4 linked regions of the Nothobranchius furzeri genome follow. The protein of the gene in region 3 purifies or fractionates together with the protein of the main gene of each other region. This does not show direct contact. Links are inferred from orthologs where the notes say so. Each region holds a gene or a part of one and is shown on either strand. Other genes may lie near its edges.

The links. Proteins that work in one complex are often made in the same cells at the same time.
Region 1: the proteins of epb41l3b (region 3) and clns1a purify together in Homo sapiens (affinity purification with mass spectrometry; 3 studies listed by BioGRID and IntAct, with this or other methods). This does not show direct contact. The link is inferred for Nothobranchius furzeri from reciprocal best matches to the Homo sapiens genes EPB41L3 and CLNS1A.
Region 2: the proteins of epb41l3b (region 3) and pnn purify together in Homo sapiens (co-immunoprecipitation; 3 studies listed by BioGRID and IntAct, with this or other methods). This does not show direct contact. The link is inferred for Nothobranchius furzeri from reciprocal best matches to the Homo sapiens genes EPB41L3 and PNN.
Region 4: the proteins of epb41l3b (region 3) and numa1 purify together in Homo sapiens (affinity purification with mass spectrometry; 3 studies listed by BioGRID and IntAct, with this or other methods). This does not show direct contact. The link is inferred for Nothobranchius furzeri from reciprocal best matches to the Homo sapiens genes EPB41L3 and NUMA1.

Annotation. Positions count from the first base shown.
Region 1 is NC_091753.1:60,563,795-60,567,314, forward strand, and holds part of clns1a (methylosome subunit pICln), read left to right. Parts: intron 1-432; coding exon 433-543; intron 544-651; coding exon 652-657; intron 658-733; coding exon 734-907; intron 908-3,520. UniProt on the Homo sapiens protein: Involved in both the assembly of spliceosomal snRNPs and the methylation of Sm proteins.
Region 2 is NC_091758.1:40,474,517-40,478,194, forward strand, and holds the end of pnn (pinin), read left to right. Parts: intron 1-1,396; coding exon 1,397-1,535; intron 1,536-1,614; coding exon 1,615-2,837; 3' UTR 2,838-3,158; downstream 3,159-3,678. UniProt on the Homo sapiens protein: Transcriptional activator binding to the E-box 1 core sequence of the E-cadherin promoter gene; the core-binding sequence is 5'CAGGTG-3'. Capable of reversing CTBP1-mediated transcription repression.
Region 3 is NC_091751.1:42,985,687-42,989,206, forward strand, and holds part of epb41l3b (band 4.1-like protein 3b), read right to left. Parts: intron 3,284-3,520; coding exon 3,087-3,283; intron 2,777-3,086; coding exon 2,195-2,776; intron 1,048-2,194; coding exon 994-1,047; intron 1-993. UniProt on the Homo sapiens protein: Tumor suppressor that inhibits cell proliferation and promotes apoptosis. Modulates the activity of protein arginine N-methyltransferases, including PRMT3 and PRMT5.
Region 4 is NC_091753.1:34,151,744-34,155,263, reverse strand, and holds part of numa1 (nuclear mitotic apparatus protein 1), read right to left. Parts: coding exon 3,418-3,520; intron 2,668-3,417; coding exon 2,527-2,667; intron 2,442-2,526; coding exon 2,328-2,441; intron 2,244-2,327; coding exon 1-2,243. UniProt on the Homo sapiens protein: Microtubule (MT)-binding protein that plays a role in the formation and maintenance of the spindle poles and the alignement and the segregation of chromosomes during mitotic cell division.

The sequences.
Region 1 (3,520 bases), on a different chromosome or scaffold from region 3:
CTGGTGCATAGGTGCCGGACTAAAGGGTACGAATCTAGTTGTGCTCCAGCTGCTGTGACCATCGTCAACAATCCGTAACTTGTCACGCAGTTTTAGGACTCGGGTATTTTATTAACGACATGTAATGTTATTTTATTGTGATGCACAAAGTTAAAAAACATTTTTATATGTTTAGTTAAAGGAGCGCTTCTGTGGTTTTGATGGTGGCCCTCTTGTGCCCTCTGGTGGCTAAATATATATTACACCCCTGCACAGCAGAAGAACGAGAGCTCAGCTGGAAGTTAACTGGGCAAAACTAAATGGTCTGCAGTTGTACGGCGCCATCTTGGGGTCTACAACCCCCCAAGGTGCTTGACAACATCTGGAGCCAGCTGTGATGGTGGCTGGTAAAAAGGAACGTGCCCTAACCCTGGTCCTTGGTTCTCCTCACAGTGGAGTCCATGTTCTCAGCCATGTGCGAGTGCCAGGCCCTGCACCCGGACCCAGAAGACGACGAATCTGATAACGACTTTGAGGGGGAGGAGTACGACGTGGAGGAGGCCGGTGGGTAACTGCCATTAGGAACGACTCACGATATTCAACCCTCAACTCATTCTGTTCTTTTTCTCTGGACACGTTTGGTTTTTCTCCTCGTGGACCTGACATCTGCAGAAGCAGGTGAACATCCAGATCTTACACACACTCTGAAAATATAAACTGTTTACCCACTGCTGCTGTTTCTGTACCCGGTTAGAGCACGGCCACGCCGACATACCCACCTTCTACACGTGTGACGAGGGTTTATCGGCGCTGACACAAGAGGGTCAAGCCACGCTGGAGAGGCTGGAGGGGATGCTGGCCCAGTCCGTGGCTCAGCAGTACCACATGGCTGGAGTCAGAACCGAAGAAACCAAGGCGGAGTTCGATGGTTTGTCAGCTTTCATTTTTCTGATGGATTCTTATTAGAAGTCCTTTTGTGACTAGTAGAAGATCCCAGATGGAAGCATCATCATAAGAGTTGAAGTAGAAAACAGCCAATCATCAGAAAGGGTTCATGTGTGGGAGGGTGCTCTACAGGTGCGGCTTACAGCGGTCTGCTCGTGCGTTTAGGGTAAAAACAAGTTTATTTGAGGTGATGATTTAGATGAATGTCATTTAAAACTGAAGGAAAGTTCATTATTCAGCTGTTTTACTTTGGTAAATGCTTTATTTATATAGTACCCTCTAGGGTTCTACCACCCCCACGGGTACTTTGGTGCTAGTGGCGGCATCTGGGGAAGGCTGGCAGCTATTTCCACCAGAAAGCGCGTCGTTTTCTCTGTTAACAGGCGTGAGCCGCCATTGTTCTCTCGGCGCGCCGTCACGTGATGACATCACATTCATAATCTTTATGGAACGTTTCTAAAATTTGGACTAGGGTTGTCATGGTAACCGGTGTAGCGGTAAACCCCGGTAAAAAAGTTGATAATAATAATAACCGTCTTGTTTTTAAAAAAACTATATCATCTCGGTGGATTACCGTGGCTGCGGCGTAGGCGCGGTGACCCTTACCAGCCACCGTACCATCTGCTGAAGTTGCCGGCGGCACATGCGCACTTTGTTGTTTACAACCAAAACTTTCTTGAAGCTAAAGCTGGAATAATGGTCAAAGGAGGAGACGGCAGCGCTCAGGACATTTATTATCCCTCAAAGAAGACAAAGTGGGAAGTACGGGCATGTTTTGGATATATGAAGAATGCCGAGGGACAGCTGATAGAAGACGGCTATCCTGTTTGCAGCACGTGCAGAAAAAGTGTCTGTGAAAGGCAGCAACGCTTCAATCTCATGACACATCTGCGTGACCATCACCCACAACTCTACAGTCAACGCAAGGCAAGCTAACGTTAGCGTTTTAGCTAAAATGCGTGATCCGAGGATTTGGGTTGAGGGAGAACGCAACGAGTCGCTATATAAAGCAGCCGCAGCGCCGCTACCTGCATGTAAACCGTGTCGCGGACACCCCCATGTTGAAATGACGCTATGCATTACGGGGCTCCCAGGGGCAGATAAGAGTTGGTCTCTCTCCCAGAATAATTATGAATTTAACAACGATTACTGCCTGATGACATTTTCCCACATCTGCAAAGCTCACTGGAAGGACCAGTACCTCATAAAACACACACACACACACACACACACACACACACACACACACACACACACACACACACGCTGTCTGCTCTCCTCCCATTGAGCAGCTGTGGCGAGAGCTCTGTGCAGAGATGTTGGCTGCTCAGAGGACACACACCGCTCTCTCGTTTCCCGCTCACCCGAACCCAATCAGTCCGTAGTATCACCTTGTCCCAGTCGGACTTCTGAGGAAGAGGTCTGAAAAAGTTGCCTGGTCCGGTACTGACCCTGGCCTGTAACCCAGTTCTGGTCCGGTACTGACCCTGGCGTGTAACCCAGTTCTGGTCCGGTACTGACCCTGGCGTGTAACCCAGTTCTGGTCCGGTACTGACCCTGGCCTGTAACCCAGTTCTGGTCCGGTACTGACCCTGGCCTGTAACCCAGTTCTGGTCCGGTACTGACCCTGGCGTGTAACCCAGTTCTGGTCCGGTACTGACCCTGGCCTGTAACCCAGTTCTGGTCCGGTACTGACCCTGGCCTGTAACCCAGTTCTGGTCCGGTACTGACCCTGGCCTGTAACCCAGTTCTGGTCCGGTACTGACCCTGGCCTGTAACCCAGTTCTGGTCCGGTACTGACCCTGGCCTGTAACCCAGTTCTGGTCCGGTACTGACCCTGGAACGCGGGTCTGCTGGTGGCAGGAGGACGTCAGTTGTAGCAGAGCCCTTCCAGCCAATCAGATAAGAGAAAGGCGGGGCCTCCCTAGAGGGTCTCACTTTTCCGTACACAGGTGCCCCCAACAGCGGGGTCAAGTGTCTTGCCCAAGGACACCACAGCTGATGGACTGAGCAGGACTTGGACCTGCAACCCTCCGGTTCTGCTGCGGGGACTCGGTCCTCCGCCACCGTCGCGTTTGTTTTTACTGAAGCATCCGTAAAAGAAACCCGTCTGACCTCTGAAGCGGTGCTTTTACCTGCGATGACCAGCAGCTCCATGGACCGGACCTGTCTCCGCAGCGACGAGTCCGGGACACACACCTGGGTGTTCAGCCAGACTCTGCAGGTGGATTCTGTTGTTCGTGCGGTTTTTACCGCAGGAGTTGGGAACTGTGGCCGAGGCGTTTATGACCTCCAGGTCTCTGCTTGCTGGCCTGAGCCGGTCCTTACTGACCCGGCTGCAGCTGCTCCAGAAAGCTGCTGCTCTGGACTGGTTACCAGTGAACCCCTGTCCTAAGATCCGGTCTCTGTCTGGAACAAGCCCACCTATAGCCTCACTGCTGACCCGCTATGTTTCTGCATGATCGCCACGTTCGGGTCAGAGCGACCTCCCAGTGGTTCTGCAGCCACAGCCCAAGTCCAGAGGTGATCGTGCCTTAGAGGTTCTGGTTCCTCGGCTTTGGAACCAAGACCCCCCAGAAATGAAACGGTCCCCATC
Region 2 (3,678 bases), on a different chromosome or scaffold from region 3:
AAAAGTGCAGCTACACGCAGATTGGCTAACGCTAAAGCTAACGGGTAGCAGTCTCACGATCAAGTGGCGCACGGATAAATATATGATGATGTAAAACTAAGAGACTAAACTCTACAAGCGGATGAAAAGTCCCCACCATCCTGTTTATTCTGCATCCTGCAGCGCTACGGATCAGAACCGCTGTAGATACGAGTCACATTACTGCTACAAGCCTACGGCAGGCCGTTGTAGTATATAATTCAGAAACGCTTCTATCTTTGAACATAATTTAATCTGGATTATTGCCAAGTCCCGTACATAATAGACATGCCACCGTTACATTGTTAGCAGCAGAAATTAAATGTTATTACCATTTCCAGCACAGATGCATGTTAATGAAATGCATTGTATTTTAATGCATATATTTATGTGTTATTATGACTAAGATGAGTGTTATTAATACAAACCTAAAATGTTACTTAAATGTAGGTCAAATATTTAAAATTATTTTAACTGTAAATATCAGATGGGGAAAAGGAACTAAACACTAATTAATGCATATTATTGAGCCTTTCATAATAAGAGTGTTATTTCAGCCTGATCATTTTGTTTTATTTCATATTTTTTAGCAGCAAACCTGTTTTGTTTCACTTGAAACGTCAAACGGAATATTCTGTTAACAGAAGCTTAGATTAAAACACTTAACGAAAAAATATTTGGCCTTTAATAAAAGTGAGGCAGTTGAATGCAGAGTATGCATGTGTTGGTGCACGGTCAGGATGGTAGTCAGGAAAAGCCCTGTTTCTGCTCTCCAGCGCTCACATATTTAAAAAATGGTTAAAACTTAAAGCCAATACTGCACGATATTAGGTAAACCTGTGATATTCGGTAATGATTAATATTGCGATGACGATATTACTTGCGATAAATAAAAACTTAACTCGCGAACAAAAATAATCAAAAACAAAGAAATTTTTAAAAAATCATAAAAATTAGAAAAGTAAAAGATGAGGAAAGGGAAAAAGAAAATGAAGAAAAGACGGTGGATCCCGGGAAAAGCAGAAAGAGGCAAAGCTAACTCGGGTGTTTCCTAACCATCAACATGAAGTGCCGTCCGCCTCGGGGGCGGGCATCCGACCAATGAGAACCCACCTGATTGGCCAAATGGGTGAAGAGCTCTATTTGTGTTGTTAAAAAAAAAAACATAATGCTTTCATTTGATTGACAGAACGCATCATGTGTAGCAAACATTTGAGCTGACCGTTCATTGCGATATGTATATTGTGCATGCTGATATCGCGATAACGATATATTTACGATATATTGTGCAACCCTAATCAATACGGTGCTTTGGAAACATCTGGAACAACAGACGGTTTCTGGTGGTGTTAAATAAGTTTTCTTGTGTCTCAAACAGCAAGAGGAGTGGACCAGCCACAACAATCGCCTGCTGAAATACATCCGCACAAAGACCAAGCCTCACCTCTTCTTCCTGCCTGGGAAAATGTGCTCGGCCACTCAGAAACTCCTCGAGGAATCCACCAAGAAACTAAATGGTCAGCTGGGTTTGGTGTTTTTGCCAACTATTCCAAACGAGTCCCTGCCACTAACGCCTGAGCTTTTCTCTCCAATCAGCTGTTTTTGAGGAGAGGCGTGAGGCATTTGCCGAACACCTCAACAAGATGGAGTCACGCCCCCGGCGACAGCCGAACCGCGAGCAGGACGCCAACATTGCTACAAGGACGGAGCGCCCAGCGGAGGGTAAGCCAGCAGGTCAGGTAGACAAGCGGACAGGTAAAAGGGGTGAAAAGGGAATGGACGAAGATGAGGACGAAGAGGAAGAGGTAGAGGTAGAGAAGGATGAGAGTAAAAAGACAACAGAGGGAGAAGGAACTAGCAATGTAAATGAAGAAGAGAAAGAAGTTTTAAAGAAAATAGAAGAAGATGAGGAGGAAGAGATGGAGGTAAGTCAGGAGGGGAAAGAGGAGAAAAAGGGGGAGCAAAAGGGGGAGGAAGGGGATGAGGAGAAGGAAGAAAAGGAGACAAGTCCACAGTCAGAAGAGATGGAGGTGGAGGAAAAGGCAGAGAAAGATGTGGTTGAGGAGAAAGAGGTAGAAACAGTCAGTCAGCAGCGGCTCGCGGAGCTCCAAGATGAAAAGACTCCAGGTGTGCAGATATCTGAAACAGCTGAGAGCAGCCAGGAAGCACCAGACCGCAGCGATGGGCTTGCTGCAGGAGAACCAGCCGTTCAGTCCCGGGGCACAGAGGCGGCTTCTCCGGCCCAAGAACCACAGGTGGCCTCCACTCCTCCTGTCCAGAATCCCACCACTCCTGGGTCCAACGACCAGGAGCCCACCAACGAGAGCCAGACAGTCGAAAGAGAGTCGGGGGAGGAAGCCCCACAAAAGCTGCCAGATTCTCAGGAGGCCTCTGGAGCCCTTCCTGTTGTCACTCCTGTGAAGGAGGGTGAGAAGGACGGCAGAGGGAGGAAGAAGGAAAAGGAGCAGAAGAAACGCCGCAGTCAAAGCAACAGCTCCTCGTCCTCTTCTGGATCCTCCTCCAGTGGAAGTTCCTCTTCTTCTTCCTCAGGATCCAGCCACTCCTCATCGTCCTCGTCCTCTTCTTCCTCGTCATCAAGCAGCCGCAGCCGAGACGGCGGCAAGCGGAAGCGTCGGCCATCGGATAGAGGTAGAAATGCAAAGAAAGGAGATGAGAGAAGTCACCATAAAAAAGGCGGGAGTAGTGGAGGTGGGAGGGACGTGAAGGAGAGGAGGAAGAGGAGCGATGAGGGGAAGGGTAGGTCTTCCCGGAGTGATAGGGAGCATAAAGATGGAGACAGGAAGGCCAAGAGACACTGATTTAAGCTTCTGGAACAACAAAACTGCAGCTGAGACGGGAGATTACATTTTAATCACATTTCTTTTAAGTAAACGACTTTTCCTCTCGATGTTGGAAGTTTTGAATGAAGCGACTCGTTGGATGTAGTTGGTCAAAGCCAAGCGGATTTCCCTAATGAGCAGTGGGTGTTTTACGTTGTAATGTGGATTGTTGCTGCACCTAAAATGTGATTTCTAACGGGAGTCTCTAGTGAACGAGTCCGAGCTTGTTTTTAAATCCGGGTTTCTTTACTTTTGTTTTAAGTCTGATTGTCCAGCATTAAGAGTGTTGATGCATAGAAACGGTCGTCTGGTTAAAAATGGTTCGTGCTGATCAGCTGTTTACCAGTCTGGTTCATGTCTGATGTGATCTGTTCAAATGTTTTGATTTGACTTTTATTTTTTATCCTGTAATCTGCTTCAAATAAACTTGAGGTATTGGCATAAATGTGTTTCCTTGTTCTGGTTGGACTTTCGGTTTTAAAATGTTAAATTAGTCGACAGATTAAATTTAAAATGTATGTTTTCACCAGAGATGGGAATAACGGCGTTACTTAAAAGTAGTTTTTTTCAGTAACGAGTCATTAATTATCATCTTTTATCATAACGCTGTTTCCGTTACTGTTGAGAAAATGCGTGCGCTGCTGATTCAGCAGCGCGGCGGTGAAGCCGACATCAGCTGATTGAGATCTAAAGAGGTGGCTGTTTTCATCCAAGAGCATCATGGCTCGTGAAGAACGAGGAATGTGACAGCGGGACGTCCCGAAGGTCCGCTCACCTGCTCAGACGTCCTGATCTTCTACCTTCCTAGATCATCCAGCTG
Region 3 (3,520 bases):
CAATCATCAGGGATCCGGAAATTCTCCATTTGGTTTCAGTGACGGGTACTTTTGCACGGCTGCAAAGTCCTGAGGCGATGGTGGCAGAGGGGTTTAGTGTGCAGTTGCGTCCTTGGGCAAGACACTTCGCCCACCTTTCCTGATGGTGTTGGCTGGAGGGAGTGCTCATCAAGCCTTGCTTTAGCCATCATCAAGCACCTTGGGGGGTGGGGGGCGGGGGTGCCATACAAGGCACTATTAAAATTCAAGCCATTTACCATATGTTTGCACATATGCCCAACGTAACCCCAACCAAACATGATACTTCTCACAGAAGTATTTTATGTATCAGTTCATCAAAAAACTAACTCAAGACTATTTAGCCCAGTGAGTTTTCAGCTTTAGCTATGTTTGCCTCCAGAGTCTTTGTAGTTTTGATGCTTATTTCTGTTTTATTAGTTCTCTGAATCAATATCTGAACATTTTGATGGTTTGGTTCCAGGTTTGGTTGTTTACTTTTGCTTGTATGAGTCCAGCTGTGAGCCACAAGTAAGGATTATTTCAAGAAGAACCAAGCGGGGTGGTCTTCACAACATCTTTTTGTTTATAGAAAGATCTTTTGAGATTTTATACCTCCCTGCTTTTCTTTTCTTCCTTTTTTACATTCGTCTCTACGTAGCAACGCTCTGATGGCTCTGGTTTGAAACCGGCCTCTAATGGAAATGCTAAACGTAAAAGAACACTAAGTCAAAGTCAATATTCTTAAATGCATTGGGACTAGATGCACCCCCCAAATGAACTCTGACCCTTTGAGTTGGCCCAATTTGATAATTTCAACACCTGCAGCCAGATTTCCTCAATTTTTAAAAAGAAAATGGCAGAAAAAAAGTTTATTTAGTGAGATAATTAAAAATGCTAAATAACCCAGTGGAGGTAAATATGCAGCTCTCAGAGTTCACAAACTTTTTAAAGTGACAACGAGTCTGTTCCCTTTATTAGACTGGATGTACAAACCTCTGTTGCCGTCATCTCTCCATCAAAGGCAAAGTCCGTATGCTCGCTGTCGGTCTGCGTTCACAGACCAAACCAAAAAAAAATAAAAATAAAAATCCAATTCGAAAGCAAGAGAAACAAGAAAGACCCAATATGTAAACATCTGAAAAGAAAAGTGCTTTTATCGTTAACACAGAGTCATTACCACAAATGGGACAGATGGAGATGCTCTGATTGTTGGGACTGTAAGCTGAACGCTATCACACAGCGGTACAGATACGACCAGAAACGCAACTAAAACATAAGGAGCAAAGACAGAGACTGGAGAAGCAAGCAAAACAGACTCAGAGGAAGTAGAAACCATCAGTCGGTCACTTTTCAACGAGATGGATCTGAATTAGCTGTAGCCTGGTAAACGTTAGTTTCCTTGACTTATTTTATGTGTTGTTTGCAGAACAAACTTCATTAAAAATGCTTGTTCTGATGATTTTGAGGCCGAACAGCAACCTGACTTTCAGGCCCTCCCCCTCCTGTCCCTTCATGCACTGTGGGTAATGTGGATGCGTCGCTGTCTCTCTGCATCACAGCTGGATCCTGTTACACAGCGATCACCTCATCTGATCACAACAATCCTGCTCACTGAAACGGTAAGAGGTCCTCTCAGTAAAAGTTTGATTGAAACAATTCATTTAATTTGTGGCAGGGAGCGATGCACAGAGACAGAGCAGAGATAAATACGGAAAAGGCTTTATGCAGCTGATGTTTCCAAGCTCCGACTGAACTGTATTAGTCATCATTTGGACATGATGGGGTAACACTGAGATGGGCTAGGCACAAAGCCATGGATTCACCGAAAGATTAGTCTCTAAATGAAGATAGGTGACTTCATTGAATCATGGTAAAATGTCAGTGAAGCTCATGCAAGTAAAGCGATCCCACCATTTGTGTGTAACCCTCTCTTTTGAGGTGAAACAGCCAATCAAAGATGAGACTTGCAGATGAAGCTGTGATGCTGGTGAAGGTGAGATCGTGACCGGGTCAGAGATGAGGTTCTGAAAGTAGGAGACTGACAGACACTGGGACACGCTGTCTCCAGGTCGGCTCTGAACTGGTGAAACGGTTACAGGACAGGATCAGGTGTTAACAGGTATAATGGACTGTCGTTCTGAGCCAGAGGTGGGTACTGGAACAAACAGGCGTACGCACACACACACACACACACCTCCTCTTCCTCTGAACTGTCATGGTCATGGTAGCCCTGGGCTATGGAGGCGGTCAGGGAGGCTGCCTTGGGCTCCAGGTAGCAGAGGCACAGCGCCAGAGGGAAGGAGAGGGTGAGAGCGTAGGGAACGGAGAAGGAGGTGGAGAGCAGGAAGAAGAAGATGAAAAGGAAGCAGGGGATGAGAGACGGGGATTTAATGGGGAGGAAGTTCTGTGCGCACTCAGGGAGGAAGCGCATCTCAGACAGATCGGGGAAGGTGAGGTAGCCGTCTTCATCCAGGATGGAGGACAAGTCGGGCAGGTGCAGGGAGAAGGAGAAGAGCGTGCCACCGCATTGCTTCCCCTGCTCCAGCCTCTGCTTGCGGGCTGAGAGCAACAGCGCCTGCTCCTCCAACAGGGCGGCTTTGCGGTCGGCGTGGGCCTGTAGCCGCCGGCAACCAGTGCTGCTCTTGACTGGACTGACGGACGAGGCCCGCTTACGAGCGCTCTCCCTGCGCCTGCGCCGCACTTTGCTGGATGAAGCGGGAGATGAAGGGAGCGAGAGCTCGGAGCGGAGGGGGTCGTCTGTGTACACATGAGAGCGCTGATGGAGGGAAATGTCAACGAGGAGACGACGTGTGTGTAAATGCAGAGAGGTGAAGTGGAAGGGGGGGTACGCATGAGCACACACACGAGTAAAGTGTGGGGTCAAAGGAAGGACAAGAAAAGAAAAGTGGATTAGTAAAGCGCACACAGGATGAGAAGCACAACAGCCTGTCTATGGCAGTGAGTTCAGCTGAAAGCAACTGGGAAATTCACGACCGCCGTTCAAGTGTTGAATACGAAAATAAACAAAAACAACAAGAAGTAACGGCTTAAAGAGGCAGCCATTTCCCCTTTGGACGTAGGTTTACCTTTGTGTCGAGTCTGAGGGGAGTGGCCGGTTCCGTCGTCTCTGTGGCATCTTTCTTAAAATCCTCCTGCTCCCCCTGCTCCTCTGCCTTTTTCTCTGTCGTTACCGTGGTGATGATGTCCCCCTTGGCAATGACTTTGGCAGCGCCGTCAGCGGTGCCGTCCTTGGCCGGGGTCTCGTGGTTCTCCATAATGGGTGCTGAAACATCGGTGGACAGAGACGAATGAGACAAACGTTGCTCTGTGATGTTTCACGGACGGTAAACGTCGGTGTGAAATGCTCGTTGGTAAATGTGAGCAGCTCTGAGTTGTTTCTGCACATGGGCGATATGGCATCAGCTTTCAGAAGCACAAACGCAATTTATGGCTCCAAAACCGAACAAAAGCCCTGTTCACACCTTCAACCAAAGGAAAAACCACCAATCCGCCCGTTTGG
Region 4 (3,520 bases), on a different chromosome or scaffold from region 3:
TGATTTTGTATCAAGGTCATCTGTTGTTCTTTGGTCTGGATCTCGTTTTTCAGGTTCTTTACCTGCTCTTCAGAAGTAGACAAGTGTTGCTGTAGAAGCTCCTTCTGGTGAGCGTTCTCCTGCTCCTGCTCGTTTAGCAAAGCTAGTTGAGTCTGAACCTTTTCCTCAGTGGTCCTGAGAGATTCCCCCATCAGAACCACCTGTTGTTGCAGATTCTGGATTTCTTGCTGCAGCTCGTCAGAATGTGAGGAGCTCTCTTCCTTTAGGGAGACCAGCTGGTCCTCCTTGGTCTGGATCTCTTCTCCAAGTCTTCTGATCTCTTGCTCTGAGGTTTCAATCTTACTGTTAAATGAGTCCTTCACCTGAGACATTTCCAAGTCCTTCTGAGCCAACAGGTTCTCTTTAATCTGCCGTTCTTCTGTGGCAGTTTTCAGAGACTCCATCAAACTTTGTACTTGATTTTTAAGAGCTTTGATCTCCCCACTGAGGACTTCTGTCTCCTTACAGTGGTCAGATTTTAACAGATCAGCTTCATGTTCTTTGGTCTGGATCTCGTTCTTCAGGTTCTTTACCTGCTCTTCAGAAGTAGACAACTGTTGCTGTAGAAGCTCCTTCTGGTGAGCGTTCTCCTGCTCCTGCTCGTTTAGCAAAGCTAGTTGAGTCTGAACCTTTTCCTCAGTGGTCCTGAGAGATTCCCCCATCAGAACCATCTGTTGTTGCAGATTCTGGATTTCTTGCTGCAGCTCATCAGAATGTGAGGAGCTCTCTTTCTTTAGGGAGACCAGCTGGTCCTCCTTGGTCTGGATCTCTTCTCCAAGTCTTCTGATCTCTTTCTCTGAGGTTTCAATCTTACTGTTAAATGAGTCCTTCACCTGAGACATTTCCAAGTCCTTCTGAGCCAACAGGTTCTCATTAATCTGCCGTTCTTCTGTGGCAGTTTTCAGAGACTCCGTCAAACTTTGTACTTGATTTTTAAGAGCTTTGATCTCCTCACTGAGGACTTCTGTCTCCTTACAGTGGTCAGATTTTAACAGATCAGCTTCGTGTTCTTTGGTCTGGATCTCTTGCTTCAATCGGTTCACCTCAATCTGCAGGGCCTCCAGGTGCTGACAGCTCTGTAGCTGCTGCTCTGCAAACTGCTCTTCCTTGGATCGTAAGCTTTCTTCAGCTGCTCTCAGAGAGGAACGAAGACTTTCAACCTGTTCCTTCACTTCTTTGATCTCCTGGTGTAACTCTTCTGCTTGCTCTGAGCTTTGATTTTGTATCAAGGTCATCTGTTGTTCTTTGGTCTGGATCTCGTTCTTCAGGTTCTTTACCTGCTCTTCAGAAGTAGACAAGTGTTGCTGTAGAAGCTCCTTCTGGTGAGCGTTCTCCTGCTCCTGCTCGTTTAGCAAAGCTAGTTGAGTCTGAACCTTTTCCTCAGTGGTCCTGAGAGATTCCCCCATCAGAACCACCTGTTGTTGCAGATTCTGGATTTCTTGCTGCAGCTCGTCAGAATGTGAGGAGCTCTCTTTCTTTAGGGAGACCAGCTGGTCCTCCTTGGTCTGGATCTCTTCTCCAAGTCTTCTGATCTCTTTCTCTGAGGTTTCAATCTGACTTTTAAACGAGTCCTTCACCTGAGACATTTCCATGTCCTTCTGAGCCAACAGGTTCTCATGAATCTGCCGTTCTTCTGTGGCAGTTTTCAGAGACTCCATCAAACTTTGCACTTGATTTTTAAGAGCTTTGATCTCCTCACTGAGGACTTCTGTCTCCTTACAGTGGTCAGATTTTAACAGATCAGCTTCATGTTCTTTGGTCTGGATCTCTTGCTTCAATCGGTTCACCTCAATCTGCAGGGCCTCCAGGTGCTGACAGCTCTGTAGCTGCTGCTCTGCAAACTGCTCTTCCTTGGATCGTAAGCTTTCTTCAGCTGCTCTCAGAGAGGAACGAAGCCTTTCAACCTGTTCCTTCACTTCTTTGATCTCCTCGTGTAACTCTTCTGCTTGCTCTAGCTCAGTCTCAAGACTGGCCACCCTTTCCTCAGTGTGACGAAGAAGCTCTCGGCTCTCTCTATTTTCCTCCTTTAGTGTAAATATTTCTTGTTCAAAAGCAGCGTTGTGCTGCTGTAGTGTGCTAATTTGTTGTTGGTACTCCGCCATCTTCAGATTGCAGTTTTTAATTTCTATTTCTGCCTCCTTTAGAGAAGAAAGTGTGCAATCCAGCTCATTCCTCAGGCTGAGAATTTCAGTGTTCAAAGATCTCTGGAAATTGGAAAAGCACACATTTGGTAAACATCACAGAAAACTGTTTTTCTACTCAATAAAGTCTTGGACTAGCTAGTTCACCTCCATCACAGGACCCATATTCTCTCCTTCTTCCTCCTTGGTGGCCTTGCTCATTTCTTCCTCTAAACAGGATATCTTTCCTTGCAGGATTTGAATCTGTTCAGTCAGGAGCTCCTGGGCAAAAAAGGCAGTTATTAAACACTTGGATCAAGTCAAATCCTTTAATTTAAAATGTATTTAAAAAAATCTAAACATTTACTTTCTGTGCAGTTGCTTCCTTCAGTTCTGAGATTAGTTGGCTGGATTTGCTTTCCCAATCCTCTTCGATGGAGAAGTGTCTTTGAGTCATTCTGTTAACCTTTTCCTCGCAGGAGGCCAGTTGTGAACACAACACTCTCACCTAAAATACAACAATACAACAGTACAACAATACGTTGACAACCAGATTTTAAAACATGTTAAAATCTTGAATAAAACCATGCAGTTAACTCTTTATGCATCCATTTATTTTCAGAGCTTCATTTTTCTTCACCGATGTCTAACATTGTTACTATTCTTGGTCATCGATGCCCTCTTGGAATTTCTCACTTACCAAACATCAGCTGACATTTAAGAATATATTAATATGGCTTCTCTGATTTGAACAAATACAAACCTGACAAATATCCCTGAGACCCTTCAAGATTCTAACATCCAAGAGCCTAAATTACATCATCAACATCCTCCAATGGTAAATGACCTGTATTTGATATAGCGCCTTCTAGAGTCCTGGAACCCCCCAAGGTGCTTTACAACACAATCAGTCATTCACCCATTCACACACACATTCACACACTGGTGGGGATGAGCTACAATGTAGCCACAGCTGCCCTGGGGCGCACTGACAGAGGCGAGGCTGCCGAGCACTGGCGCCACCAGTCCTTCCGACCACCACCAGCAGGCAACGTGGGTTAAATGTCTTGCCCAAGGACACAATGACAGCGACAGACTGAGCGGGGCTCGAACCTGCAACCTTCCGATTATGGGGCGAGACATTGTTCCCATGTGCTTATTACAAGCAAATTTCCAAAACAAAGATAAACCCTGAGAGCATAAGATAAATGTCATCACTGAATTTCCTACAGGGAAAATCTCCTCAGTGTTATCTTACCCGAGAGGAGAGAGCCCCATTTTCCTCAGCAAGCTCGTCTACTTTCCTCTCCATCAGTGCGGATGAACTCTTCAGCTCTTTATTCTCGATTAAAATTTCATCA